Danio rerio: one gene and its partners. The protein of the gene in region 5 binds, or shares a complex with, the protein of the main gene of each other region. Links are inferred from orthologs where the notes say so. Each region holds a gene or a part of one and is shown on either strand. Other genes may lie near its edges. The genes, in order: smarca4a, anp32e, mbtd1, asdurf, ruvbl1, dnaaf10 and morf4l1.

Region 1 (3,863 bases), on a different chromosome or scaffold from region 5:
TGAGTCATTGGATTTAGCCTGGCTACATGAGCTCTTGCTCATTTAATCATTCTGTTGTCATAATTGTAGTTATAAGTGAATGAAATCCATGATGTGTCTTACAGACATGCCAAGCAAGATGTAGACGATGAATACGGGAACTCTGCATTCATTCGGGGCCTGCAGTCATATTATGCTGTGGCCCACGCCGTCACAGAGAAGGTGGAAAAGCAATCGAGTCTGCTAGTGAACGGGCAGCTCAAACAATATCAGGTAGAAAAAGATATATTACTCTACAGTTTTTACTTTATTACAAACATGCTCTGTTTTAAAAATGTTTTAAACTAATTCCTGAGGTGCAGCTGATCACAGAGAGTTGGAACAGATCTTTTGGTCTCAGTGTCTTTGCAAATCCTATTCTGTGAACACGTTTATATGCATTGTATGCAACCCCCTCTACCATTCAGTGTGACCTTTTTTTCGACGTAATGCTTTTCTCTGAAGATACGTAACTTTTTCAGTTATTAATTATCATCACCGATCTCAGTTACCACAAAAGATCCCAGAAAATACTAAGATATGGATATAAAAACGAAAAATACACAGAGAGATTCTTGTTAATCTGGTGGCTTGTGCTTATTGCTTTCGTTCCGTCCACAGATTAAAGGTCTGGAGTGGCTGGTGTCTCTGTATAACAATAACCTAAATGGCATTCTGGCTGATGAAATGGGTTTGGGCAAAACTATCCAGACCATCGCACTCATCACCTACCTCATGGAGTTCAAACGCCTCAACGGACCCTTCCTTATCATCGTCCCCCTCTCGTAAGTCACTGGAGTTGCATGATACCAGAGGAAGAATTTGACAATATTTAGGTTTATGGATGAACGAAAAAATGTAAAAATATGAATATTCTGTAAATTATCGGGGTGATTTGTGAGTGCGTCTAGATCAGAGATGTCCAAAGTTGGCCTATGATAACCCATGGTTTGGCCCACTATCCCATCTGAAAAGAGAGGAAAAATGGGGGAGGGGCAGGGGTATGCCTTTAATAGAGATTGTCATTTCTAATTTAACACAATCTTTTATTTGTTTATTTTATTGTTAAGCTACAAAAAAGAAAGCTTGAATTAAATATTGGGAATGGATGAGATTTATTTAAATGTGCATTGAACTCAATTGTGTTATAAATAGAATTTATGTTAGTTTGTTTTCATTGTAATACGTTCATTATAAAATGTAAAAAAATTAGGGTGTATTAGCTAGCCCAATACGTTAAAGTCTATTTATTTATAAATATTATTTCAAAGAAATTGGGAAATTAGTCTTATAAATTTACTATCGGCCCTCAGATCTAAATTGTTTGTTTTTTGGCCCTTTATAAGAAAATATTTGGGAATCTCTGATCTCGATGGCAAAAAACAGTTAAATAAATCCAAATACATTTTTATGGGAATTAGGCTTTCTAGAATTGAACAGTTTTGGGTGTAGTAAGGATTTTTTTGGCATGTATTGTAGATTTGATGTTATGATTTTAGTGTCATTCATTTAAAATTGTTATTATAGTTAATAAAGTATTCTATTTAAATAGGAAATTTATTATAACTTATGGTATGTCATATACTATATTAGCACACCCTGTATATATATTTTCTTTATGGTATATTATGTACACTTTGCATTTTAATCTCAAGCATTTTTTTCTGGACAATAAAATATGCTGTGTAGAAATATTCATTATACACTTTTCCATCATCAATAGTGATATTTATTTATTTACTGTGAGCTGAGATGCAGCAAAACGATAACAAAATGTTCCAGTTATCCACATGATACAGCTCTTTACCCACTATGATTTGGGGTAATATTAGTACTTGAGAGGCAGTGCTCACCAAATATAAAATAAACTTGTATTGGGTCACACTGGGCCTGGGATATCTTTATTTTTAGCAGATAATCATGCACCTCTCTTCAAAAATAATCAACCCATGGGCATTGCCAAGATGCATGAATGATTAGTGATTTTTCTGTTGTCTTATAGGACTCTGTCGAACTGGGTGTACGAGTTTGATAAGTGGGCTCCATCTGTGGTGAAAGTTTCTTACAAGGTGATTTAAATCAAATGCTGTAATACAAAATAAACCACAACCGAAGAACCCTGTAGGATATTTAACACATTTTTTTTTTTTGCTTATTTTCATCTTAGGGCTCTCCTGCTGCTCGCCGTGCGTTCCTTCCCATTTTGCGCAGTGGCAAATTCAACGTACTGGTCACTACTTATGAATACATCATCAAAGATAAGCAAGTGCTGGCCAAGGTATTAACCTGACCTTTAATCATTAATCATTCTCAGACCAGTGTTTATTCAGTGTCTGATGATGCCTTCTCTTCCAGCTCCGTTGGAAGTACATGATCGTGGATGAAGGTCACCGCATGAAAAATCACCACTGTAAACTGACTCAGGTATTAAATACGCACTACCTGGCACCCCGGCGTGTGCTGCTAACTGGCACTCCACTGCAAAACAAGCTGCCCGAGCTGTGGGCGCTGCTCAACTTCCTGCTGCCCACCATCTTCAAGAGCTGCAGCACCTTTGAGCAGTGGTTCAACGCGCCCTTCGCCATGACTGGAGAGAAGGTAAAATGGTTTTCACAACAATAACAGTAACTATAAGGATAATGTGTTAAAGGGGCCATATACTGTATTGGTTTAATAAGTTAAAATGTTCTCTGATATCTACTTAGTAGGTTTATGGCTTCAGAAAGTAAACAAAAGAAATCTTCAGAAACGCTTTTATAAGCTAATTTATTATCTTAAATACCCCTAGAATATCTGCTCTACTCAACTTTGACCTGCTGCGATTTCAGACACTCATACACACAGAGCATGATGCAAGCTGAACACAGACAAATATAACCCAATCAGAGTAACCTTAACCTATTATGCTCACCAGATCTGTTGTGGGTAAAAACTAAATTATGATTAAACTTGACAAAAGAGAGTGAAAAGAGAGATGTATTGCATTGTATTTTGAGCTACATTCAAAGAGAAAACAGCCACGATTCAATATCAGCTTCTGTATGAACGGATGACAGTTGAGGTGAGTGATTTGACAAGATTCAAGAGTCTACATGTGTTTGTTAATACACATATGCTTCACATTTCACAATAAACATGATAAATTAACAAAAGATGTAACCAAGCATACCATATGCCTCTTCAGAGTGGAGAGGAATAAGTGTATAATCTGTAAATCTTGGATTTTGCATCCTGAGGCGAGTTTTAAACATGTCTTATGCTGTTTGGCGCTTGTGTTTTTACAATAAAAGTCCAACATGCATAGGAAGTGAAATACACACTTAAAATAACTAAGGGAGGAAAATGATCACTGGTATCACTAGAAAACGTTTGGCTTATCAAACACAGCCTGAGGTGTGCATATTAATAATTTCAGGGCTTTTGTTTGCTCTCAGAGCTGCAGGTGAGTTGTGTTCTCTTGATTATGTCAGTTGCTCATCAGGTCAGGATGAATGACCTAAAGTAAGGATGCATGCAAATACAGAAGACATAGCTCATGAGTCTCGTCACAGTTTGTTTTGTCTTCTGATTGGCCCATTGTTTACCTGGGTTTTACACTTGTGGAATTGACATTAATACGATGAAACTGGTGTCTGAGGCACACAGTATGCCCATATCCATATATTGATCGTTTATTATTTTACTATGCCTTGGTATACCCAGATTTTCATCATAAGGCACCTTTGTAATGTTAATTTTCAGCTTTTTAGAAGTGCACACTGCAGTTTTGTCATCTGCTGCTTTAAAAAGTTGCACTCAAAATGGTCAGTCTCAGGATTGCCAGGTTTTTGCAACAAAACTAGCTT
Region 2 (4,383 bases), on a different chromosome or scaffold from region 5:
AAATATAAACTGAACAAATGTGAGAATTATATGCATTTCATTAAACTGCAAATAAATGTGAATTAAATGTGAATAAAAGAAATCAAAAATAATTTTATAAATGCCATCAAATGAGTAAAAATATATAATTAATTAATCATAATAATTGATTTTAATAATATGTAATTTTTACAGTATAAACTGGGTCTTTTTAGGGGGATAGTGTGTGTGAGAGAGAGTGACTCTGTCTTTCTTTAACAATTTAGGATGCGGGTAATTGGCACCTAAAAGGTTAAAAATATCTAAAATAGGCTGTTGACTACAATAAAGACAATAATAATGGTAAAATTATGATAATAAAGGGTAAAAAACATATCTGATCTGTACTTTTAAAAAGTAATTGTAAAAGAAAAGATTGATATATGATACACAATCAAACAAAGAGTCTGCCCTAATGACTGTTTCATACAGAAAAGATTATTCACTTCTTCTCTGGCAGCCCAGATAAATCAGCTTAGCAGATCTGTTGTGGTGTCCATTGCGGTTCAGGGTCAGTGTGCCACGCAGCCCTAGTGGTCACCTTGGTGTACTGCACTAATGCACAGCGCTCAAAGCCTTCATTTTACATTTCCGTGGGGATACTTGTTTTTTATGCTGTTTTAAAATGAATGAAGACATTTTTAGGGAAAAAAATATGAAGGTTGTTTATTAATATATAATAACAAGTGAATATCCTGCTGGTGCTCAATGACTAAAATAGGCCTTTGTGAGTGAAGCGATCAGCAGCAGCACATTATGGGACAGATGGCGAGCAGACTTTAAGCCACCATGACTGTCTGGGTTTATGGTCAGCCATTTTGTATAGAACAAATGATTGTAGAGAACATACTCAATGTTTAAGACTCTTTTGACCTCACAGAACACATTTTACACGTGTTTTAAGGTGAAAATAACATAAATTATATTTTAAGATGTAAAAATGTTTTATTTTTGACTCTTAAGCATTGGCGTTCACTTTAGATTCTTCAGAATACACCATCTATCCCTGGTCTATAAATTAATTTCGACTTATTGGAGTATTAAAGGACACGGACTTCGCTTCAGGGCGCCAATGAGAACAAAGAATAGGCGGATTTACAGTTTGAAAGCTTCATACTGACGTTCTGGACGACCCGTCGAAAATCTACTGCGCGCGTATTTCCAGCCAATCGCGTCAGGCTATAAAGACCGATTATGTTGATAAGCGTGATCTGTTTGAGTGACAGGCACGTTCTCCAATCACGCGTTGACAAATAGCGATCATCCAATCGAAACGCGAAGTAGGCGGGATCTCAAAAAGGGGGTTGGGTGCGAGGTATCATGGAGGATCAGTTGGAGAACGGCAGCCATTGAAGATAGCCGAGCCGTTGGTCCGCGCTCCGGAGTTTCTGACAAATTTATTTTCTTTACGCGATCCCAGCGCAGCAATAACCAACCAAATGGAGATGAAGAAGAGGATTAGCTTAGAGCTGAGGAACAGAACTCCAGCAGAGGTGAGCGCTTTAACTATTTATTTTGTTCACAGAAACGCGAAATGATGTTAGTTCGCAACCTGTCTGTCTATCTATCCTGCACGCTCGGAATAGTCAGTGGAGTCCGCTGAATGGCAGCGCGGCTTGGAGACCACATGGGCGCCTTAACGGGATGCCAATTTGGATTTTTGGAGACTGCATATTTGGATATACACAAACAAGTAGTCGATATAATCGTAATTTTAAGCGCGTTAAACTCTTGGTGAATCTTTTGTGAACTCCTCACACGATCTCTTCGCCATTACATTAGACTTGTCGATGTGGGCGTCCCAACAAGCACCTCAAAATAACACACTTCGATATTAAGTATTTTTATCGGTCGCAAATATGTTTATTACTCAACAAGTGTCGTCTAATTTGCTTACGATGTTATTACAATGCCCCGATACGATATTGTTCCCGCTTCCAGCAGGAAACGGTAACAATTAAAGTAAAACTGTTGTGTATTGTTATATAATTCCTACCCCAGTCTTCCTTACATGCAAAACATCACGCGAATAAATCTCCTATCTCTTCATATAAAAAGTTTATTATACGCTAGCTTCACAGATGCGCTCCCTACTATATGGCTTTTCTAATCTAGTAACGTACGTTAAAAAACGAGCAGTTTCGTCTTCCATAGGCGGACATCTTACTCTCTCCGGCTCCTCAACATTAGGCATTCACTCGCCTCCGTTCTTCATCTTAAGACCCTCTAAAATGTTCAGGGTTTGAGAGCACAAGCACATATGGAGCGAATGTCAGGTCAAACTGTATTATGAAGCGTTCATGGCTTCTGCAGCGCCTCGCGGTGTGTGTGGTGAGGATGTGTGTGTGTTTCTGCTCGACTCCGTGTTGACGGGCGGGGAGTGGAAGTCATTTTGTTGCATCAATAGTTGAGACGCAGATGACGATGTTTTGAAGCTTTGACTCTGTTATTATTAATAAAAGTTCAGTGGTTTGATTCACTACGCTTACGTGGTGTGGAGAAACGAATAATTGGCGCATAAGAGCCAGAAATAGTCGCTGCGGTTTAAAAAAAAACTAGTTGCCATTTTCTTACGCGGTTACGTTAATGGCGTAATTATGTAACCGTCTGCAAAATTATTTATTCCCGACGTTAAACTATGCATTGGGCTTTAGGAAGCTGTTTAGGATGTCAGTCGCCGTTTTAATTGAAGGAATGTGGCAGATGGTGAAGGGCGAGCCCCCCTTCCTCCTCTCCGATTTTAGTAGATTATTGTAGGCTTGCCTGAACCGAAGTATTGAAGCACGCTTCTTTTGAATGGGGTAATGATGGATGGGATCTTTTACACGAGCTTGAGTTGATACTCTGTCTGACATGACATGGTGGACGTGCATAAGCGATACGTGGCTTTTAACTTGGGTGTATCTTGCGCCACCGGTTTAAAAAATCTTGCGCGCGCTGTGTGAACATCTTGTGAAGAGCTGGCTGTAAATTCACACACACCAAATCCTGTGAGATGAGGTGGGGGAGGCATTACCAGGGCTACATTACACACACATCACGTGCTCAAAATGTAGGTATCTTTCCACAAGGGCAACAAGTTATTGAATATTTAAATTTTAGGGCTGCAGTGCATGACAGTGAGCGCGCGCGTGCACGTTTCTGTTTGTTTTTAATGGGAGAATCAGCACGTCTTTCCTCAAAGCTTTTAAGTGCACATCTGTTTATTTGTTGAATACATTTTTTTTGTATATATAGAAAAGTTTCAAACTTGTCAGATAAACAAATATCTATGTTAAAGGAATTGTCTATATTATAATTTAAATCCCATTTAAATTAAATCATTCCTGTTAAATACATTAATTACTTACATTAAAATGTAAAAGTGTAAATACATTAGAAAATATGTGTGTATTGTTTGTTTCAATAATTGGAATTAAAAACAGGCTCAACCAATGGTGGGAGACGGGGGCGGGGCTATCCAATGATAAATAGCATACAGCAGCTCTACAGAAACAGGAAGGATTCATACTTTGTGTAGTGCAAAATAAAAAAAAAAAAACATTTATATTCCAACCCATATTCAGTTATTTTTTTGCTGTCTCTAAATGTTCCATCTCCGTTAATTTTGTTTATGCTATATATTTTCCAATGTTTTTGAACTTTTTGGGAAAAGAAATGTATTTCAATTTTATTACTATTAATAAATGGGATTTCATTTACATGGGTCATAAATTAATTATAGACAATTCCCTTAACATGTATGGCTGTTTATCTGACACACACACATATATATATATATATATATATATATATATATATATATATATATATATATATTATGTTAGGGAAAAATATTAAACAAAAATAAATTTAAAATAGAGCAAAATTCAAGAAAAACTGAATTTATAAAATATAATAAATAATTTTGTTTTGCAATGTTTCACATGAATTTAAATGTTTTTTTTTTTATATATAAATATACCTATTTAAAAAATCTATTTTGTTTAAATGCACTAAAATATATGACCTATGTTTACTGATAAATTAAGAAAAATATTCATTTGCAAAATGGGATGTACTCTACACACATTGGCGTCAATATACCCTATGATATGTCGCACAAATTTCATAGCTTAAGTGCTTTGAGATTGGTTTTCCAATAAAACCAACAAATATTTTCTTATCTGCTCCATCATCCTTAAAAACAACAGTATAATATTTACTTGTATTCTTCACTGCCTCATTTTCATTCCTGTCAGAAATAATATATAGCTCTTCCCTGACTAAGGTCTATGGAGAAGTGTTTGTGAAACCGGTATAAAAACAGCCAGTAGTCATCATAAATGATGCACTATACACTGTGTGCTTAACATTGTGTACACT
Region 3 (4,057 bases), on a different chromosome or scaffold from region 5:
AATAGACTCCTTTGAACCCATGTTAATAACAGGTGGAAACAGACACATACGTTTTCAGTTTCACAGCACTTGCAAAAAAAAAAGATTTCTCTTGAAAAAAAAAAAAAACTATTGATTATATGGGGATGAGTAAATGATGGCATTTATTATTTTTTGTGTGCATTGTTCTTTAAAACATCACAGGTAAGTTTATCAGACTACTAAAACATCTAAACTCTGCATATTGCTGTCTGCTTGATCTCATTATTTGAAAACTACAACTTGCTTTAGTCTTTGGCAACTAAAATAAATTAAAACAATGCTCAGTTGTCTGTTTTCTCTTTGACGTATTGTTATTCTTGTGTCTCCTTTTTTGCTTTCCCAGAGGCCTCGCTGCAGGTGAAAGAAGAGACTCCTGAGATCGACGAGTTCACCTTCTCTCAAGGCATCTCGGACCAGGAGAGCAACGGCTCGGGCAGTTATTACATCAGACAGGAGCCATGAGCCGATGCAGCCAATCACAGACTCTCACCTCACTGCCAACAGCACTGGAAAAAACCCCACACGCAGAGATGCACAGCAGACCTGGAGGAAGAAGAAGAGACTTCCCTCCAAAACCAGGTCTTTCTCCTTTCCTTTTATGGTTCCTTTTCAGGTTTCAGGAGAAGAACTTCAGTCATTGATGCGAGATAGAAAAGGGGGGATTTTGGTTCATATAATAAGGATAGCGTTGATTATCCTGACTTTTTTCTTTATTCTTTATTTTTTGTTCTCATTTAAACAATTTGCCCGATGGACTTTTCCTCCTCAGTGTTCATTGTACTTGAAAGTTTTCTTCGCTTTTATACATATTTTATCTCTTATTTTTCCTCTTTTGGTGAAGAAAAACAAAAAAGACGACAAACATTTTTGGTATTTTTGGGGGTGGACATTTCAGTACCTTGTGTGTTCTTGCGCTGTTTCACTTGTTTTGGATGGGTGTGCGTTTGGTAATAGTAGAAATCTATATTGAGACAGTATATTCATATATATATGTATGACATTCATATTAAACATATTTAAACGTATAAATATAGTAGTGGATTGAGGGATGATGGTATTGAAATCAAACCTTACTGGTATGTAGAGTAGACTAACGGAAAACACTCACAATTTGCACTACAGGGATTTCAAACGAAATGTAAAACCAGTAAACAAACAAACCGCAGCTTTATTGTGATGTGATTAGCAAGCGTAACTTTAGCGGTGGGATGTGCTCAAGTCAAAGTGAAGATTACGATATGCAAATTGTTTAGTTTTTCGACATTTGACGCCAGTGTTTATAGGTTTTGATTACAATCTCAAGAGCCATTTTTTAAAATACAGGCGGTCAAAGTGTTTTTGAGCCAGAGAATAAAACGTAAGCAATCACCGCTGCCTGAACACTACCTTTCGCGAGTCTCCGATCAATCAATCCAGCGCTAGCTCATTTACTAGCCTGGCCTCTAACATCCCATCCCATACATTTCCTGATTCCATTCCACATTTTGACTACCTCTAAAAGAAGATGCGTTGCAATAGGTAGTTCTTTCATGCTTATAATCCGTATAAGCAAGCGTGTACACCATTATATTTTATGCAAGAGATAAATATTCACACTTGGACATGTGACATACTTCACTTTTAAAAGTCTATACAGCATTTCTGTTTTCGAGCATGGGAAGGAAAAGAAGAAGGTTATGCAATAATAATATTTGTGTTGTTTTACGATGTCTTACTCTGAAATCCAGAAATCACACAGCTCCTATATATATATAGAGAGAGAGACTTAAAAGGAAAGATATTGAGAAACTGTGACAATTTTCTAAGAGCTAGACTTGAGCTTTCCCTGTTCTAGATCCTTCTGAGTGTAAATACATCCTCTATATCACATTCGCATAGTGGTTTATCTTAGTAGAACTATAAGCTCTGTTCAATACCAGTAAGGTTGTTGGTGAACTCTCAGGAAACGTATATATCTCATTTAATTCTGCTTTATTTGAAGGTTCACGGCTAAAGCGCTACTAAAATCATTCGATTCGATCGCCGTTTCGTTCGTTGAATTAAAAAGAACAACTTCTTGCTCGCGTTTGTTAAATGCTGCCTCGATTTTTGTAAATGGTCATCCACGTCGTAGGTAGATCCATGTTAAATTATGGTTCGTTCGTTGTATAAAACAAATTCAATGTATTTTTTTACCGTTTGTTTTTCTCTCTCTTATTCTTTATGAGTTTTAGCGGATGTTTGTACTGAATCATTCTGTTTTTTTATGTTGTTGTTGTTCGTGGTGGGTTTCTTCAGTAGCTGTTGTGTCGTTTGCATGTGTAGTTTTTCAAATGTAAGGCACTGTCGTGTGTTCATGTCAAACTGGGACTTAATGGCCACATTTTCCCATCAGCTGCAGGAGCCACGTTCATTTATTTTTATTTTTTCCATCATTTTTTATTTTGTTATAAACCCAAACTCATAGCATCAGGATTTAGGTACACACTGGTCATGTCAGTCATGTCAGCTCAGTTTAATTTCTTGAATATATATATATATATACACAAACATTATAAGACCAAAATATTAATTGTTTCTGCAATTTAAACGAAAATAAAACGACTGTTGAGGCAAATTTAGCTGCTACCCTTGAAAGAATTTCAACGCACAACTTCACCTTCATCCTTTTGTCAGCAGAATTGATGCCTTATCCTCTCTGTGTTGTTTTTTTTCAAGCTATGGGAGTACAAAAATATACGTTAAAAAACAAAAATATGTCGTCCAGTAGAGTTCTTATCAGTGCATGCAGCAATGTGAGATGAATCTTATGAGGGCCAGTTGTTGTTCTGGTCTGGATACTAACACGGGTTTTTGTGACGTTTCCCCTCTGTCCTCAGTAATCACATCATGGTGCTATATTCATATATATATATATTTGATAACTCATTGGTTAGGTCTATCATAGGAGAAATAAGTCTGTAATTATAAGTTGGAGAGCCGCTGATTATATCTTCAGATCTGTATTTTTGGATACAAATAGCCGAAATCATTTGTTATAACAATGTAAAGTGAAATTAATGAAATAAAACAAAAAAAAGAACTAACGTTGACCCTCGTTGTATGAAGAGGTGAGGGTGGTGGATTTGTAACTTTTTTGATAGAGTCTGTATCTGGTCTTTGCTTTATTTCTTATGACGAAGATGATTATGATGATGACGTGTGCTGTGATTATAGGGTTTGATAGAGCTTATATGTATATACTTCAAACTGTGGGGGGGGAGCTTTTGTTGGTCAAATTTTATGTTAATTTGTTTACAAGCATTTCAAACTGTTTCCGCATGGCTGTGAAAAATGTATCTGTTGAGTTTGGGGGAAAAAAAAAAGAAATTTTTACACTGAATTAAAAGGTTACTAAACGTTTGTTTGCCTTTTCCTTTTAAAACCATGCTTTTTTGGTACTGTTTGTTTTTTAATCCAACTAAAGTTTATGCTATCCAATTTTGTTTTGAGTTAATTGTTTTTTTAACATTTGTTGAATTTAAATGTCTGAATTTTACCATGCCTCGAGGTTTAAAGGGATGGTTCACGCTAAAGTTTTAAATCGGTCATCATTCACTTGTTTTGAAAGAGTTTCTTCCGTCGAACACTGTTTTTCCTATTATGGAAATTGGAGTCCCAGCAACTGACATTCTTCCAAATATCTTCTTTGTGTTTAACAGATAGTAGTTTCAAACCACTCGATGGAGTTATTATTAGTAAAAATTGAATGAGTTAAAGGTGCTGTATGTAGGTTTTTGTCTCTTCTAAAGCATAAAAATACCATCATATGTTTGCAGATATTTAAGAAGCGTGCTAAATGAACATTCTTGTTTATCTGAAAAACAATGCTGAAGTCAGATATTCTTTTTTTTTTTAAAATGTTTTCGTGCCGGAACGTCTGTCTTTATTTTGGTCATTTTAACCCGCCCAATGCCAGTTTAGCCAATTACATTTCAGCACCCAGGGTTGACTTGGTGGAAAACAGCGTATTTTATTCAGTCATTCATTCATTCATTCATTCATTCGGAAAGGCTCT
Region 4 (4,630 bases), on a different chromosome or scaffold from region 5:
CCGAGCATGTAAGTACTGCACTCTCTTACGAACGGCCTCGCTTAGAACATCAATCAGTGCACTAACCACTGCTTTCTTGTCAGTGTTTGTTAAGAATGCTTTCAGATTTTCAACAGAGGTTTGAGAGGCGTTATGATTTTGTTCAGTTGTAAGTGATGAAATGGATGTGTTCATCGGACAAACAGGGGAGGTCAGGTAAAGTCCAGAACTATTTGTGTTTAAAGAAACACATTTGGGAAGACCTTCACATTTCAATTCCGGGCTTTCAATTGGCTTGTCGTCACTGTGGAAAATCCATGGATAAAGTTCAAAAATAAATGTACCATCTAGTGAAGTGTCTGTTAGGTCAAACCTGTAAACTCCACCAGGTGGTACCTCCTGCCATTGGGATTGACTATCATCTGCTGGCTGGGAAGCAACTGATACGAGTGTGAAAAAAGCTCTTTCAGGATTGAATTTCCAAAGCAGACTTCTTCTCCCGAAAAAGTCCCTCCCGAACCAGATGCAGCGCTCAGACTTTTGGTAATAGATAAAGGCCCACGGTCCTTCGAGTTGTGATAACAAACATACAATATCTGAGGCACTGGTGGCCATTGACAGTTGATGAAGAAGAACTTTGGTGTCATTTTCTTCCTGCTCTAATTTCAGACCACCAAACACCTCTCCATTCCAGAGAAGCATATTCCCAGTGTCATCTTGAAGAGGTTGAGGGGTCAGGCAACCCCTCATATGAAGTACATGTGCAGAGAATAGGACACTGCAGTTTGAGATTTCTTTTGTAATGTCTTTGCTACAATTGGGTCCTCTGTGTTTGAGATTTTGAAGCACATTCTCCTCCAGTGGATCATGTGGTGTGGTCAAACTGACCACACAGCAGATCCCACACATGATATCACTTCACTATATATCTTGATATTCTTTCCGCATGTTATCCAGGTCCTCTGTATAACAGAATATTATGACAATGTTAGAAGAACACACTCAAAATGGTGGCATTAGTATTGTATTTATGTATCATCTATCAAAAAAGCAGAAACAACTCAAGTATAACAGAAACACTTACGTTTACAAGAGCTAAGGGTTTCTCCTTTGTCTGCCAGAAAGAATATATTGCTGTTGGGTTGCTGGGTGTACACTCTCTGTGAATATAATCTTAGTATTACTGGAATGTGATGATATCAAGTCAAGTTGAGCTTTATTGTCATTCCACTACATGTGTGATCTCGGCATGGGACGGTAACCGGTTTCAAGGTTTACCGCGGTTTGGAAAATTCAAGGTTTTAATCCCAGTAAATTGTTCTGTTATACCGTTCCCAAGTTATATGTAAAAGTTTTTTTATATATTTTTATGTGTTGTATAGAAATCTACGTTTTTCAAACTAACGAATAGAGCAGAAGTCAAAGATTTATTTTAACTATTTAGCCTGACATGTTTACTGTTCCAAAATATTATGTTCCTTAAAATAAATAATTTGTGTTCAGTGGGGAAATTATAAATGTTTGTTCTATTTTACCCATACATTTTAAAAAAGAGAGAGCAGTAATCACTTTCACAATACTGTGATACCGTGGTATTTTTATACAAGGTTATCATACCGTCAGAAATTTATACCGGCCCATGCCTAGTGTGAACATACAGAGAAACTAAATGTGCAGTCTCCCAGGACAACGGTGCTACATAAATTAATCATAAATACAAACACAACTCTGCACATAAGAGCTATTTTAAAAACCTACGCATAACTATAAGATACTTCACTATACACATGGACTGGCTATAGAAGTACTCTAGAAAATCTCCACAAAAATGGGCCAGAAATGAAACTCAGTCCTATTTGCTTCATTTACAAGTCTGCCATAAGAAGAACACTGACTTTGAGGTAAATTATCTTAAAATAATAAATTCAATAGTTCAAAGGAATTATCCAATTTGAATCCCCATGGGTTAGAAAATGGCAACAGATGATACATTTAAGGTACTTTATAAGTTGATAATTTTGTCAAGCTTAAATTCTACTTTGCTTTTAATTGATGTCAAATAAACTGTTTCACAATTACGTTTTATCTTTCATAAATTTAACTGGAAAAATATCTCTAAACATCGAAGGAACTTCTTAGTTGATATTTTTAAATGTGAATGTAATTAATATCATGGTAAGACTTTATTTTGATGGTCCCTGTTGCACATTTTTCTGACTAAAGTTGTACTGCAACTAAATGCCAGTTACTTCTCATTTGGGTATTAGTAGACTGTCTGCTTAATATCTGCTGATACTGCTGCTTTCAACATTTCACTGACTAAGAAACTTTGCAAGTACATGTCAATTTACACCAACCCCACCTGACAGTCTACTTATAATCTATTGCGAATTAGTATAGTGGAGCATAAGTTCATATATTATATTGTATGCTACACTAGAAAACATTTTAGTATATATTGCCTTCTATAGCGATGTGGTTTGACTTTGTTACATCTATAATTAAGTGAAAGCATCTGCTACACCAAATGCAGAATGACTCTTGATAATATATAGAAAGTGACAAGACGATATGACGTTACATACCCTGTTTTTCTTCAAGTTACTTAACTCGTCCACAACAATCTTTTGCTCTTTTATCTGCGAATGAATAGTTATGTTTTTAGGATCATCAAAAAACAGAAATTACTAAACATGCTTAACGCGTTTTACTGGTGTCAACTGTATACTATAAATTACAAAAAACATATATGATAGACAACCTTTTGGTTCAGCTCCTCTTTTTGTGCGCGCTCTTCTGAGGCCCCAGGCTCAGTTCGCTGTATGTTCTTGGAGGACATTGTTTATTAATACGCTTCAGATCATTTTTAGGGAAACATCTCCACGAGCAAGTAACTCGTTCGTCGCACAAGAATGACGTATGCGCCAACGACGCTTTAAAAGTGCGTCACGTAATCCTAACCCCATTATCCCCCATAAACAAAGCCTGTTAAAGAATAATGTTGGGTGGATAAATCTGCAGCATCTAAACAAAGACGCGTTGTTGAATGAAACAGGGAATCTAAGTAATGTGGTCAAATACGGTTCAAATACGTCGAATGCTTTCAAATAGAGTTTTTACCCGGATATTAACGACTTTTCATCGCGAAACAGCGGCTAGCCCATCTATCTAAACCTGATATTATCATATTATCTTATATCATATTTTGCCATTCTTCTAATGTACGATAAGATGGTAATAAACAAAGCCTATCATAGCTCTAGGCGTACATTATCTTATCCAAATATTTTGGTTTATCCTCAGTAATTTGAGAGCTATCCTAAAGAGGATTGTTTGCATTTAACTTTCAAGATGAACAAATAATGCTCATCTTAATGGAAAAATTGTTCAGGGTGTCCGCAGGGACTTTAAAAGTCTTACATTTCAAAAACAACATTTTAGGCCTTTTAAAACTTTACTTAAAAGGGTGTTACAGGTCTTAAATAATTTTAAACAGGTGTTAATTTTTTTGTCCATGTAAAGCTATTTAATCGGTACAAATAACAATTATTCTAAAAAAACAATTAACTAAATTGTATATTCTAAAACTCTTTACCAATTTGGTTCAATTATCTTTCTTAAAATAAACTTATTTTGTTTATAAATAAGTGTTTGAATTGTAATGGGGCAAGTAAAAACAAATTGCACTGGTCCTTAGAAAACAAGTTTGACATTCATTCATTCATTTTCTTTTCAGTTTAGTTCCTTTATTCATCAGGGGTCGCCACAGCGGAATGAACTACTAACCTATCCAGCATATGTTTTACACAGCGTGTGCCCTTCCAGCTGTAACCCAGTACTGGGAAACATCCATACACGCTCATTCACACTTATACACTACAGACATTTTAGTTTATTTATTTCACCTATACTTCATGACTTTGGACTGTGGGGGAAACCGGAGCACCAGAAGGAAACCCACACCAACATGGGAGAACATGCAAACTTCACACAAAAATGCCAACTGACCCAGTCAAGACTCGAACCAGCGACCTTCTTGCTGTGAGGCAACAGTGCTAACCAATGAGCCACTGTATCCCTCCTAAATTTTGTACATAGGAATAATGCTCTAAAGTGAAGCGAAGAGAGGGGTGGGGGGTTGTGCATGAACCCCGAATCATATCTCTAGGGGCCCCCAATATGCGTAAGCCCTTTAGGACTGTCCTGACCCTACCACAGGGGTGTCCAACCTTGGTCCTGGAGGGCCAGTGTCCTGCTAAGTTTAGCTCCAACACACCTGCTGGGAAGTTTCTAGTATATCTAGTAAGAGCTTGATTAGAGTTGGAGCTAAAGTCTGCAGGAAAGCGGCCCTCCGGGATTGAGTGTGGACACCCCTGCTCTACCATCTTTAAAGGACTTCACAGTCAAAAAAATAATAGTTTGGTAATAAAACAATGTCTCATGGGGTTCTAAACCTTTATGAGTTTCTTTATTCTGTTCCACAACAGAAGATATTTTGAAGAAATCTAAAAACCTTTAACCATCAACTTCTATAGGAAAAACACTACTGAAGTCAATGGTTACAGGTTCTCAACATGTTTCAAAATATCTTCATTTGTGTTTAACAGAGAAAAAAAACTCAAACTTTTGAAACTAGTAAATGATGACAGAA
Region 5 (4,328 bases):
GGGTGAGATTTTTTTCCCTGACAATGTCTGTTCTGTCTTTAGAGTGATTAACATGGCATCTTCAAACGCTGCACACACACCACCTATTGATCAAAAGTGGTACTGCTGCACAGATTATAAAGTGCCCTGACAGGTTACTATTCTGTTGGTTAGTTAATTAAAAACAAGTCAGTACGTAAGTCAGTAACTTCTAGTGCTTTGTGTACGTAGAAGGCGTGAAGTCACACGTCAAAGTGAATTTTATTAGTGTAATTGTTGCTTTACTGAAAAAAATACACCCACTTACCCCCGATGATAGTGCGTATAAGGGAGGCATGTCCTGGACAGTCCACCAATGTGAACTGCAGACTGTCGTATTGTTTTTCCCCGCAGGACTCCCTCAGGTGCTCCGGTAACGGCACCGTGAACGCACTGAAGCCGAGATCCAGCGTTATGCCCCGCTCTTTGGACTGCGGGTTCTTGTCGAAGGCTGCAGTGGATGCGGTGCTGCTCAGCGCCCGGGCGAGAGATGTTTTCCCGCTGTCCACATGGCCGAGGACACCGACGTTAAAGTTCAGTGTTTTGGGAAAATCTGTCATCTCTGGATCAACACCGCGGTTGGGTAACAGAGAGTGAATGCGCAGACTTTGAACTGCTGACAGCGACGCTGCTGGTCAAAACAACCAGCTTGATGTCGTCAGACAACCAACTTACTGTAATTTGATGAATTTTGATAATATCAACTTATTAACTTTGATATCAGAAATAAAAGTGTAAACTAAATTCCTCGGCTCTTACTTCATTCAGCAAAGTTTTCAGAAATTTGACAGTTGCTCTTCCTGCGCTGCCAAAAAACAATCCCTGAGCTGGCAGCATCTCACATCACTGGTTCCGCCTCACGGCATTTTGTTTGAGAAAAGAAACATTCCTCATGAACAAAGTTGTTTATAAATTAGTTTAAAAGTAAAAATAATCTACACCTTGGAAATATTATGTTATCTACACTTCTGAGAGAAACTATTTATGGGAACCCACAGCGTAGATCCTTGTTCCAACACAACATTTCAAATGTAACACACACGAAGAATAGGGGCGGGTTTACAGTGATCAGACCGACAGTTGCAGTGTCCAATGGTCATGCAGAGTTTCCACAAGTTGACCAATCGTTACAAAGAACCACTGAAAAACGTTTTGCGGACGGTACTTCCTCAAATCGCCTTGGTTACCCTCATGGAAACGCGGGTCTCTTGTGTTTGATTTTAACGGCCTCTCGTGAGACAGGCGTGTGGTTGTTTTATTCACGCACAGCGCGTTCGATTAATTATTAAGAAACATGAAGATCGAAGAAGTAAAAAGCACAACCAAGACGCAGCGCATCGCTTCTCATAGCCATGTGAAGGGCCTCGGTCTGGATGAGGCTGGTAATGCTAAACAGTCCGCGTCCGGGCTAGTGGGACAAGAAAGCGCCAGAGAGGTAACACTAGCTAAAGACCAATTTCCGTGTTTATTTCATTAATTAAGAAAAGCAAACATTTTAATTTGATAACCTCGAATGATTTGTATGTAGCTGGCTATATGTGAAGAATAAATACAAAACTTCTAATTCATTTGCTTGTGTCAAGAGCTGGATACAATTGATTGTAAATACGATAAATTCATATACTTTCATAGGCTATATATGAAGAGTTCAGATGCAAAAACCTCTAAGTACCGTCTGAAACTTCCATTAAAGCTGAGCATTTTTATCTCAGCATTCTATATTGATTATTGATGAGTTATTTCTCTTTAAAGATCATTAAATTAACATACTTTTTAATTATTCTTTAATTTGTAATTACTGAACCTACTAACAGGAGCCTGATAAAAATGTTTATTTTAGAAGAACATTTCAGACGGCTTTTAGAAGTTTTTGCATCTGAACTCTTCATATATATATATATATATATATATATATGGAATATTTTAATCACACTTTTTAAACAAAATAATGTTTTCATGTATGTGACATTTTCTGGCCTGTAGTTTAGCCCTGGGCTTTAAAAAAAAAAACTGATCCTGTTACATAAACATCTAGAAAATTCTTGCATATTTGTTAGGCTTGTGGCATCATCACTGAGCTGATTCGTTCCAAAAAGATGGCTGGCAGAGCCATTTTGCTAGCCGGACCGCCTGGAACAGGCAAGGTAAGGGTAGACTGGTTTTATTTACACTGCACTGTATAATTAAAATGGACATTAAAATAGTTTCAGAGCTGTTGTTTAAGATAGTATGTATAGTCTGCCCATTTGATTTCTATCCACCACAGACTGCTCTAGCACTGGCCATGGCACAGGAGTTGGGAAATAAAGTGCCATTCTGTCCTATGGTGGGCAGCGAAGTTTATTCATCAGAAATCAAGAAGACCGAAGTGCTGATGGAGAACTTCAGAAGAGCCATAGGTGAGCTCTCACACCACCATAACCTGTCAAAAAAGGATAGAGGAAAAGTTTTTTTATATATTCGCACATTCAGACTTTCTGCTTAATAATATAATTTCATAAAAGTATTCTTTGCAAATTTTAAATAGTGAAATCATATTAGCAGTCAATGACTATCAAAGTACAGCGTTGTTCAATCAATTACATAGTGCTAATATTGTTTTGAAGTCATCCTTGCATGCTATTTTAGACGCAATATTCAACTTGCCGTGGTAAACAAATATGGGCCATTAATGAAACAAATGTGCAAATCTCAAACATACTTTATCTAAATCAAAAAAGGCTGTTGGCCGTTATCTTGCGTAATGAGTGATTCCTACCATCATTAAATCAATTCAATCAAAACTGCTGATTCAATTAAAAATGAAGCAAGTGACTGTCTTTAATATAAAATCGAGTCTTTGGCTCATTCGATTTGTTTAAAAATAGATTAGTTCTGGAACAATGCATACCATCGTTGCTCTGAAATGTGTAAAATGTTTTGGTATGACCGTTCAGAACTGATTATGTTGACAATTGAAAATAACACAGTATTTTTGTTTTGAAATGTAAACTTACTGTTTTTTGAGCTGTTGATATTTTTGCTTTTTTACTTGAAGTAAAGGGTTTATAGTCCTAGGCTTAACCGCAGTGTTTAGACTGAATATGTATTTGTTTTTATAATGAGCAACATGCATTAATGTCAGCTAGCGTGTCATTAAACAGCAGGACTAAGTGAATATCATTTTATTTTAGATGATATAACACACCCCTACAATAAAGAAGCCATGTAAAATCTGTATTTTCCTTTATGTATTCCTATAGATTTGAGCATGACCTTGTACTGTTCTTCTAGTTGGTTCACAACCCTCAACTCTGAAACCCTCAAGTATGACTCTGAAACAATGTAGACTATGTGATCAAATGAGATATGCATGAATGCACACATTATTACTACGCTGACAGAGATATATGGCATGAACCATTGAAAATACACTTCTGGCTTTTTATTACGTAATGAAATATGTGGTTTTTGTAAAAGTGTATTGGCCAGTAAAACCGAAAAACTATTAAAAGTGTTTATATCAATCTAGTATCTAAAGTTCTGTTTTGTTTTTTGATCGAACAGGTCTGCGTATCAAGGAGACTAAAGAAGTGTATGAAGGAGAGGTCACTGAACTGACTCCTTGTGAGACTGAGAACCCAATGGGAGGCTATGGTAAAACTATCAGTCATGTCATTATTGGTTTGAAGACAGCTAAGGGGACCAAACAGTTGAAGGTAAGGAAGTGCAGGCATGTTGTTATGTTTTTTTTCTGCATGCTTATATTTCGTAGATAAGCTGGATGGAAGCTGATTATGTGGTTGTTTGAAGTCATATCTCATCTCTCCTGCAGCTGGATCCCAGCATCTATGAAAGTCTGCAGAAGGAGAGAGTGGAGGTCGGTGATGTTATCTACATCGAGGCTAACAGTGGGGCAGTCAAGGTATGGACAGATATGCTTCGCTATTCTCTCTCCTGCGGTTCTATAGTTGGCATGTTGAAGTAATCTTTTGTCAGTACAGGTGGGCAGGTAGTCTGGCAGTGGAATAAAGGACGAGATTGTCTCTCGTATTTTTAAAAGAACGTAATACTTTTATTAAGCAAGAATGAATTAAGTGAATTCAAAGAAAAAGAGACTATAATAATGCTACAAAAGATTATATTTCAAATAAATGGAGTTTAAGTTCATTAAAAAAAATCCTAAAAAAAAAAAAAAAAAGATTAGAAGAAAAAATATTAAGCTATAAAATAAATATTTCTTGAGTGCCAAATCAGCATATAAGAATTAATTCTGAAAGTTCATGTGACACTGCGGTAATGATGCTGGAAATTCTCGCCATTACATGAGT
Region 6 (4,490 bases), on a different chromosome or scaffold from region 5:
AATTTATTAAATTAAAAAAAACATTTGAGTTATTTTGAGTTGTGAAGATTTTTTTTGTTCATTTTGATTAGGCTAAATGTGGGTCAACTATGTTCTGAGGGTCCTTCACGCTGTAGGAAAACACCGGAGAGCTCACGTGTAGCCTATAAATATACTATTGGACGGACAGACAGACAGACAGACAGACAGACAGACAGACAGACAGACAGACAGACAGACAGACAGACAGACAGACAGACAGATAGATAGATAGATAGATAGATAGATAGATAGATAGATAGATAGATAGATAGATAGATAGATAGATAGATAGATAGATAGATAGATAGATAGATAGATAGGATGGACGGATAGACAGACAGATATAGACGGACGGATGGATGGATAGACAGACAAACATGATAGATAGATAGATAAACACAGACAGCACCTACCAGACATTCATTATTGTAAAACGTGAATCAGGAAATGTTAATAAATGTGGAGCAGTGCAGATAGAGAAACATATTATTAGAAATTATGAATACTAAATGAGTGAAACTTATGGAGAATTAAGTTTAAAACAAATGAGAATTTAAGAATATTCATTCATTCATTTTCTTGTTGGCTTAGTCCCTTTAATTTAAGAATATGTTAAGCAATAAATTGGGGTGAATTAAAAAACAATAACAAAAGCACTCGGTATAAGAGCAACAAAGTTCAGTCTATTGAAAATTGAGAATATAACAATTAAGAATATGTTAAGAAATGCCCCAGAACAATATGAAGTGTATTTTGCGATTATAAATCAGTGAAATGCAATAGGTATAATAAATGGAATTTAAGGAGAATGAACTATAAAGATTATATATATATATGTGTGTGTGTGTGTGTGTAAAATACATTTTATTCTGTTATATATTACTAGTATCCAGTAAAAAAAACAGTGAAGTCTAGAAGGGATGCAGTTGCAGGTACATCAATATGACATAATTTGTGTAACACTACAACAATAATTAATATTTTCACATTACTGTGATAAAAGGGGTAAATGTTAATAAAAATTCAATTTAATAGGTAATGTTATAAAAAATATGAATAATACTTTGTATTATTACTTTTTCCATTACTGGGGTGGGGGTAGACATTGATAAATTACAATGAATGGGTAATTAAATAAATAATATGACTAATACTGTGTATACCTGTTTTTACATTACTGTTATGGTTGGGTTTAGGTTTGGGGTAGAGATAGACGTTAATACAATAAAATTAATGGTTAATTTATGAAATAATATGACTAATACTCTGTTTAATTGCTGTTTTTGCATTACTGTGAGGTTTGGGTTTATTGTTGAGGTAGGGGTAGATGGAAATATGGTAATAACATACAATTAATAGGTTATTTAATAAATAATACTGTCAGAATTGGGTTTAGGGTTGGGGTTGATGTTAATAAAATACAATAGATGTGTAGTTAAATAATATAAATAATTCTCGACCGCAGCTGTATCCCTTTTAGCAAAAACCCACACCAATCCACCAGGTGGCGGAAGTATAGCTTTTAAGAGGGTTGTCAACAGCCATTGAAACAAAGAAGAAGCAAACAGCGCAACTGACATCTCTTTCCTTCTGCTCAAACTGATAGATTTTAGTTTCATATTGAGCACAGATCATGTCAGCAGCTCTCGAGAAGCCGCAGATCATCGCGCACATCCAGAAGAGCTTGAACTACACGGTGTTCGAGAGCAAATGGATTCCGTGCAGCGCCAAGTTTGTTTGTATGGGAAACTTCGCGAGAGGAACCGGAGTGATGCAGATCTACGAGATCCAGCACGGGGAGCTGCAGCTGGTCAGAGAGGTCAGGTCTCTTCATAGTATATATTCACTGAAGCACAAATCAAACTGCTGAAAAGCTTTGCTGTTTATTAGCTAAGCCAGTTCGGCGCTTTCTAGAAAAGTCCTGAGGCGCGGTTGCCATGGCGACAAAACTCAACTGCCTCAGTCTCTGTTTACAACGCGTTTATTAACGTTTACTTCACCGTCATAGTTCATATTCATCCACAATACACATGTGAATCATGACTATAAGACTAGTCAGGGATCAGTTAAAAATAGAGATTTATTCATGATCTATTATGCAAAAATCCCTTTTATAAGGGGTTTAACCCCAGTTGTGTGTCAGCAGTTTGTGAATATCTCCAGCCTCTAATGGTAAAGATGAATTAATTGTGTTTGATGTAATCAGACTTAATAAAAACAGTCTGCGGAAACACTTTTTTAAAATTATATTTAATTTTATATATATATATATATATATATATATATATATATATATATATATATATATATATATATATAATATATATATATATATATATATATATATTTAATTTTTGAGTACTTTTAGGGCATGGGGTTGAAGATGAATACCATGTTTTGTAATGATATGTGAATATGTTGGTAAAATATAGTGTTTTTGGCCAAAAATCGAAATGGGCGACGCCCAAAATGGCTGACCTGTGAAAATCAGACATCATTCGACTCGACATGCTCTGCCGGATGTAATGAGACAAGTTTTATCAGTTTCGGACGAAAGGTTGAGACGTTATAAGCCAAAAATCAAGTTTTTTGTATCTCCGGACCACTAGGGGGCAATGTGCCAAAACTCAGCATATAACCTCGGACCCTAGTTGTCATAACACACACCAAGTTTGGTGTGAATCGGTGAATGCGTTACAGAGATATCGTCTCAAGTCCATTTTCGCAAGTTCTACGTTAAATTTGATCGCAAGTTAAGCGAAAACAGTTGGTCTAATCAACTTCAATTCCATAACTCTTGGTTGGCATGGTCTGTAGATCATGTGATTCAATTTTGGTGAAAATCGCAGAAACGGCCTAGGACGAGTTCGATCAAATAGGTTTTTCGAAAAATTTAAAATAGCGCGAAAAAATTCATGACGGAAAATGATGTCATAGGGTGCGTTTGAATCGGACTGAGCCAAGGAGTCAGCGGAATTTTGATTGTAGCCCATTCGGTTCAAAAGTTATTATGATAAACATACGTGAAAGTTTGGACAAGTGGTGGCGCTAGAGAGTTTGATTTTGAGACTTCACATTTGGTCTGATTAATGTTAAGACTGTCCTCTATCATTGTGCCAAATTATACAACTTTCCCGCATACGCCTATATGGGCTGCCATTCATATCCGGTGGAAGAAATGGAAGAAGAATTCTTACACTTGAATGAATCAAAAACTGAAGTACTAGTGTTTGGTCCTCCGAGTGTCTGTGAATCTACAATTAATAAATTAGGTTCGATCAAGCCTAAGGTCCACAGTCACGTAAAAAATCTTGGAGTTACTTTTGACACTGAGTTAAAGTTTGACAAGCAAATAAACTCAGTTGTCAAAAGTGGTTTCTATCAATTAGGGAACATTGCCAAATTGAAGCCTTTTCTTTCTTTTAAAGAGCTGGAAACTGTCATTAATGTTTTTATTATGTCAAGACTGGACTACTGTAACTCTTTGTATTCTGGAGTTTCACAGGCATCAATAGCACGCCTGCAGCTGGTTCAAAATGCAGCTGCTAGGCTTTTAACTGGGACAAAAAAATCCTCTAGTATCTCACCAGTTTTATTGTCTCTTCACTGGCTCCCAGTCCAATTTAGAATTCAATATAAATTATTGCTTCTAGTTTTTAAAAGTTTGAATGGTCTGGCACCGACTTACATTTCTGAGCTTCTTCACTGGCACACTTCATTGAGGCCAATCAGGTCCGAAAACACGTTTCAGCTAGTTGTCCCCAAAACGCGGTTGAAATCAAGAGGTGAAAGGGTTTTATTGCTGCAGCCCCCCGACTATGGAAGGGTCTGCCTTTACAGATCCGGTCATGTTCTTCACTTGGTGCTTTTAAGTCTCATCTAAAAAATCACCTTCTGTCTCTTGCCTTTGATTGTAATTAATTTTAATCTGTTTTATATATTTTGCAAATTTTTTATATATAGGTATAGATTTTGTATGCTGGTCGTTTTGTAAAGCACTTTGGTCAACATCTGTTGTTTTTAAATGTGCTCTATAAATAAAGCAAACAAACAAACAAACAAGAAGAATAATAATAATAGGAACGCTAACGGATCCAATAGGTGCCTACGCACCTACGGTGCTTGGCCCCTAATTAGAAAAATAACAGCAAAAAGGGTATATATAAGGGGTATATATATAACAAAAGGGGTATATAAATCACACATTAAAGAAAACGATTATATAACTGACAAATTTCAGTTGTTTTTAAAGACTGTGAGTAAGAAATAGTTTCATAGTATTACTGCAATTCAGTAAGCAAAATATATGAAAACAGGTTTTTGGTTGGAAAATTTACATGTATGTATATAAGGTTTTGTTAGTAAGATAAGAAGGTTAAGAAAAAAAAATATGTCAAGCTTCGGTTTTTTAACTGATAAAGCCAAACAAAACATTTTCCCATAGTAAAGAAAAGTCTGCATCAACATTC
Region 7 (4,432 bases), on a different chromosome or scaffold from region 5:
TTTAATAACTTATTTCTAATAACTGATTTATTTTATCTTTGCCATGGTGACAAATAATATTTAACTAGATAATTTTCAAGAGACTTCTATACAGCTTAGCTCATTTAAAGGCTTAACTAGGTTTACTATACATGTTAGGGTAATTAGGCAAGTTGTTGTATATCGATGGTTTGTTCTGTACACAGTCTGAAAAATTTTGCTTAAAGGAGCTAATATAGGTTTGACCCTAAAATGATACATAATAAATTTTAAACTGCTTTTATTCTAGCCGAAATAAAACAAATAAGACTTTCTCCAGAAGAAAAAATATAATCAGACATACTGTGCTCTGTTAAACATAATTTAGAAATATTATAAAAAGATAATATCTTTTTATAATAAAAAGATATTACACCGGAGGGGCCGGTGTAATAATTCTGACTTAAAAGTGTGTGTGTGTGTGTGTGTGTGTGTGTGTGTGTGTGTGTGTGTGTGTGTGTGTGTGTGTGTGTGTGTGTGTGTGTGTGTGTGTGTGTGTGTGTGTGTGTAGTGCTGAGCATAATTAAGTACACACATATGTGTATCCAATTGTCAGTGAATATAGGCAATGTATTGTGGTGCATTTAAACGAAACAAATTTATTAAACAAATTTATTTAATGAAATAATATTTTAGTCACCAAACATAAATTTTTTTAAAGATAATACAATTAAATTCAAGCAAAATATGGCCCCAAAAAAACTTACAACCTATAAAAAAAATATTATTTATTTATTTTTCTCTTTTCTTAAATTTGCATTTAATATTTTTTTCTATAACATAAATTTGGCTGTACTTATTTTTGGACTGTTATCGTAAGTTATTTTGTTAGATAGGCTCCAGATTTGCTTCAGTACTGACTAATATAGTATAGATTCCTATTAAAAATATGAATTTAAAAGATAGATTTGTGAGGGGTGTACTTATTTATGCTGAGAACTGTGTGTATGGTATGTATGTATGTATGTATGTATGTATATATATGTATATATATATATATATATATATATATATATATATATATATATATGTATATATATATATATATATATATATATATATATATATATATATATATATATATATATATATATATATATATAAACAAAAGTCGTGTACACCTTGCATAACCTCAATTGTTTTGTTTTTGGTGCAGCTACCCCTTTAAATTTTAACAAGAAATAAAAACATAAATTATAGAAGAGGCGTGGCGTAACGTTGAAATATATCTGCATAAATGCACTTATTTACATGTATTGCCGTGAGTAGAGCACAACTTCTGTCATTCGTCAACAGGGGCTGCTGGATAAACGCTGTTTATTATGAGAGTCACCTGACAAGGGCGCCAGTAAAGTGCGTCATAGGAACGCAGCGCGGCGCCTTCACCCTGCGTGAATTAAATCGGAGCTGGCAATGCCTGGATTTGATTTTCCAGCTATTTTTATTGTTTAATCTGTGAATGGCGCCTAAACAGGACCCTAAACCTAAATTTCAAGAAGGTAAGATGCGCTTTGTTTCATCCACGAGAGTCACCCGTCGATCGGGGATCCTCTCATTCTGCCGTGCAAAGGAAGCGGGCGCTGCCGCTGCACAATGGCGCGCGCGCACGGCGAGCTGTCTGTTACAAAACACTTTTTAGCTGAGAGTTGCCGCCTTTAACTTGTGCAGAGTTGTTCATCACCTGTCAAGCGAGTGCATGATCGCACGTTGGTGCTTTTCGTTGCATCTGACAGCCTCTGCAGACGCACACAGCGGCGTGTTCCTGAAACAAAACATTAGCTGTTGTCTATGATGTAGCCGTTAGCATACAGCAGGCCTTGTTTACAGGAAGCGGCCATTGCAGTATTGAAGTCCTGGCGGGAACAGTCATTTACTTATTTGAAGCGTAAAAACAACGACGTTAGCTCGGAGCTGTTCTAAAACTGAAGTCGATAATGAGCAAAGAAAGGCTATATTATTGCATTAAAATGACCATTAGCAATTTTTGATAACTGAATGAATCGTTCTATAGAATCGAATCTTTAGAACAGTGTTCTATTCTGAATCTGATTCCTGAACTGGGACTCTAATATGAGTTAATATTGTTGGTGATTGTAAGTAAACGCATATGTCAAGTAAACAGTCAGATTTGATGTATTGTTTGACTATATAAGCAGGTTTTAAATGTGCGTATTTCTCGTTTGTTTAAGTATTGTGTATTGAAAATGCTAATTATATTTTGGTTATAATGAGCTTAATTATGATTCAAACAAACAATATGGTAAATATACTGCAGACTGTTATAAATCTACTATACATTTAAAACATTTCTTTGTTGTGGCATTTTCTGAAAGTACAATATTCTGTGCCCACACACATATTTGAATATGTAACACTTCTATTTTATTTATTAGCCCATTAGTGGATGTCATTGTATATTAATATTTCTGATGTTTTTTCAGGTGAACGAGTGCTGTGCTTTCATGGGCCATTGCTATACGAAGCTAAGGTACCTGAATCATTCATGCCATTATGCATGCTTCAAAAGGCTTTTTGATATTTGTTTTCCTGAAAGCAGTACCTGAATGGCATTACATTTATAGTGTAAATGTAGTCATGTGTTTGTAGTGGTTTTGTTTATCATATTAATGCTTTGGTATTGTTTTCTGTGTCAAGTAAAGGGATTTGTTTTTGTATAGTTAGCCCTCTACCCCATGGTGTTGCCATATGGCAACATAATACCGTTAATTTTTGCCAGTGCCACTGTTCTTCTTCTTCTGCCAGTGTTTCTTTAAGACCAACGTTCTGTTTGTTTTTTTTGTTTTTTTGTGGTTATTGGAAAGAGAAGACCTTAGTGTAGCCAATGATGTGCTTCGGTTAAGTCACATGACGTGCAGTGTTTTTCTGTGGCTTGGTTTCTGTTAGACTGGCGTTTATTTTGAATAGTTGCTGAAAGCAAATGAAAAAGTCAATAAAATCAAAGCATCAACCCATGCCAGATCCACAAACAAAATCTGAGACATCACATCCAATAAGTTATGATGACATATTCACAACTCAAAAAGATTTTGATCAAATTAGCATTTTGTAAGTCGATCAAATGTATGTGCTAGCAAATGGAAATGCTGTACAATAGAGGAATGTGCGATATTGCGATAGATTAGCTAGCTAGGTCAGCTCAGCTGTGGTCTTTAAAGTTGTAACAATAACAACATGAATGCTAGTAATATAACGTTGATTAGTTGTATGTTAATGGCATTTGCTTTATGGTTAAATCTAATTTTAATGGCAGTGCATTTGATTAGATATAAATACAAGGAACAGTGTATTAGTGAGGACCACAATGTTCTATAGTTAGTGAAAGAAGAAAAGGACACAACTGGCTCTTCCCACAGATGAACGTGAGGATGAGATGGTGACAATGAGAATAATGCAGATTGGACATTTGATAAGAGCAGTGATGAAGTCAGTTTAAGTTAGCTAGCTCAGAGGTGTATATAAGACAGATGTAGTAAAGTATATAGTTTAATATATAAACATAGTTTGCTGGTAGCAAAAGTTTATTTTGATGCATCTGAATATTTTAGACTTATTTATTTGTTATAATATTTACTAGAGGATATATTTATACTTTCTGTATGTTGTCTACATGATAATACAATATTATGTTAAAAAGAATGGACTAAATAAAAAGTTTTGGAATATCAGTTGAAGTCAGAATTATTAGCCCCCCTGTTTATTTTTTTCCCCAATTTCTGTTTAATGGAGTATGTTTTTTTTAACACACTTCTTAACATAATAGTTTTAATAACTCATTTCTAATAACTGATTTATTTTATCTTTGCCATGATGACAGTAAATAATATTTGACTAGATATTTTTCAAGACACTTCTATACAGCTTAAAGTGGCATTTAAAGGCTTAACTAGGTTAATTAGGTTAACTAGACAGGTTAGGGTAATTAGGCAAGTTATTGTATAATAATGGTCTGTAGACTATTGAAAAAATATAGCTTAAAGGAGCTAATAATTTTGACCTTAAAACTGTTTTAAAAAAATCTAAAACTGCTTTTATTCTAGCCGAAATAAAACAAGTAAGACTTTCTCCAGAAGAAAAAATAGTATCAGACATACTGTGAAAATTTCCTTGCTCTGTTTAACAAAATTTGGGAAATATTTTAAAAATAAAGAAAAAATAAAAGGGGGTTTAATAATTCTAAATTCAACCGTATAAGGTGTCATTTATAAGTTCTGTGTTAAAGCTTTTAACTCTGCAACACCAATTAAATAATTTCAAACAACAAAATTATAATTCATAAGGAAAGTTCTACATTTTAAATAAAGTTAGATCCACTAATGGATGTTGTTGTCATATCGCAGCATATCATAAAGTACCTCAACTTCTCATTTCCCCAGATCTTTTTTGCAGCACTTCA

Evidence for each region.
Region 1: ruvbl1 (region 5) and smarca4a share a complex: the UniProt entries of both Homo sapiens proteins name them as parts of the BAF53 complex. The link is inferred for Danio rerio from reciprocal best matches to the Homo sapiens genes RUVBL1 and SMARCA4.
Region 2: ruvbl1 (region 5) and anp32e share a complex: the UniProt entries of both Homo sapiens proteins name them as parts of the SWR1-like complex. The link is inferred for Danio rerio from reciprocal best matches to the Homo sapiens genes RUVBL1 and ANP32E.
Region 3: ruvbl1 (region 5) and mbtd1 share a complex: the UniProt entries of both Homo sapiens proteins name them as parts of the nuA4 histone acetyltransferase complex. The link is inferred for Danio rerio from reciprocal best matches to the Homo sapiens genes RUVBL1 and MBTD1.
Region 4: ruvbl1 (region 5) and asdurf share a complex: the UniProt entries of both Homo sapiens proteins name them as parts of the PAQosome complex. The link is inferred for Danio rerio from reciprocal best matches to the Homo sapiens genes RUVBL1 and ASDURF.
Region 6: ruvbl1 (region 5) and dnaaf10 share a complex: the UniProt entries of both Homo sapiens proteins name them as parts of the PAQosome complex. The link is inferred for Danio rerio from reciprocal best matches to the Homo sapiens genes RUVBL1 and DNAAF10.
Region 7: ruvbl1 (region 5) and morf4l1 share a complex: the UniProt entries of both Homo sapiens proteins name them as parts of the nuA4 histone acetyltransferase complex. The link is inferred for Danio rerio from reciprocal best matches to the Homo sapiens genes RUVBL1 and MORF4L1.

The regions. Positions count from the first base shown.
Region 1 is NC_133178.1:18,046,827-18,050,689, forward strand, and holds part of smarca4a (SWI/SNF related BAF chromatin remodeling complex subunit ATPase 4a), read left to right. Parts: intron 1-104; coding exon 105-252; intron 253-639; coding exon 640-803; intron 804-2,020; coding exon 2,021-2,087; intron 2,088-2,185; coding exon 2,186-2,296; intron 2,297-2,373; coding exon 2,374-2,616; exon of another isoform or gene 2,617-2,743; intron 2,744-2,846; exon of another isoform or gene 2,847-3,863. UniProt on the Homo sapiens protein: ATPase involved in transcriptional activation and repression of select genes by chromatin remodeling (alteration of DNA-nucleosome topology).
Region 2 is NC_133194.1:45,163,774-45,168,156, forward strand, and holds the start of anp32e (acidic leucine-rich nuclear phosphoprotein 32 family member E), read left to right. Parts: upstream 1-1,361; 5' UTR 1,362-1,457; coding exon 1,458-1,511; intron 1,512-4,383. UniProt on the Homo sapiens protein: Histone chaperone that specifically mediates the genome-wide removal of histone H2A.Z/H2AZ1 from the nucleosome: removes H2A.Z/H2AZ1 from its normal sites of deposition, especially from enhancer and insulator regions.
Region 3 is NC_133187.1:35,448,191-35,452,247, reverse strand, and holds the end of mbtd1 (MBT domain-containing protein 1), read left to right. Parts: intron 1-364; coding exon 365-483; 3' UTR 484-3,402; downstream 3,403-4,057. UniProt on the Homo sapiens protein: Chromatin reader component of the NuA4 histone acetyltransferase complex, a multiprotein complex involved in transcriptional activation of select genes principally by acetylation of nucleosomal histones H4 and H2A.
Region 4 is NC_133184.1:42,816,268-42,820,897, forward strand, and holds asdurf (ASNSD1 upstream open reading frame protein), read right to left. Parts: upstream 2,894-4,630; 5' UTR 2,819-2,893; coding exon 2,741-2,818; intron 2,619-2,740; coding exon 2,565-2,618; intron 1,140-2,564; coding exon 1,064-1,139; intron 942-1,063; coding exon 901-941; 3' UTR 889-900; downstream 1-888. Other genes in the region: asnsd1 (asparagine synthetase domain-containing protein 1), read right to left, coding at 1-888.
Region 5 is NC_133181.1:43,388,343-43,392,670, forward strand, and holds the start of ruvbl1 (ruvB-like 1), read left to right. Parts: upstream 1-1,165; 5' UTR 1,166-1,312; coding exon 1,313-1,453; intron 1,454-2,075; coding exon 2,076-2,162; intron 2,163-2,284; coding exon 2,285-2,417; intron 2,418-3,564; coding exon 3,565-3,716; intron 3,717-3,832; coding exon 3,833-3,922; intron 3,923-4,328. Other genes in the region: eefsec (selenocysteine-specific elongation factor), read right to left, coding at 287-578. UniProt on the Homo sapiens protein: Possesses single-stranded DNA-stimulated ATPase and ATP-dependent DNA helicase (3' to 5') activity; hexamerization is thought to be critical for ATP hydrolysis and adjacent subunits in the ring-like structure contribute to the ATPase activity.
Region 6 is NC_133188.1:1,036,316-1,040,805, forward strand, and holds the start of dnaaf10 (dynein axonemal assembly factor 10), read left to right. Parts: upstream 1-1,632; 5' UTR 1,633-1,654; coding exon 1,655-1,840; intron 1,841-4,490. UniProt on the Homo sapiens protein: Key assembly factor specifically required for the stability of axonemal dynein heavy chains in cytoplasm.
Region 7 is NC_133193.1:21,420,894-21,425,325, forward strand, and holds the start of morf4l1 (mortality factor 4-like protein 1), read left to right. Parts: upstream 1-1,294; 5' UTR 1,295-1,477; coding exon 1,478-1,517; intron 1,518-1,590; exon of another isoform or gene 1,591-2,111; intron 2,112-2,459; coding exon 2,460-2,506; intron 2,507-4,432. UniProt on the Homo sapiens protein: Component of the NuA4 histone acetyltransferase (HAT) complex which is involved in transcriptional activation of select genes principally by acetylation of nucleosomal histones H4 and H2A.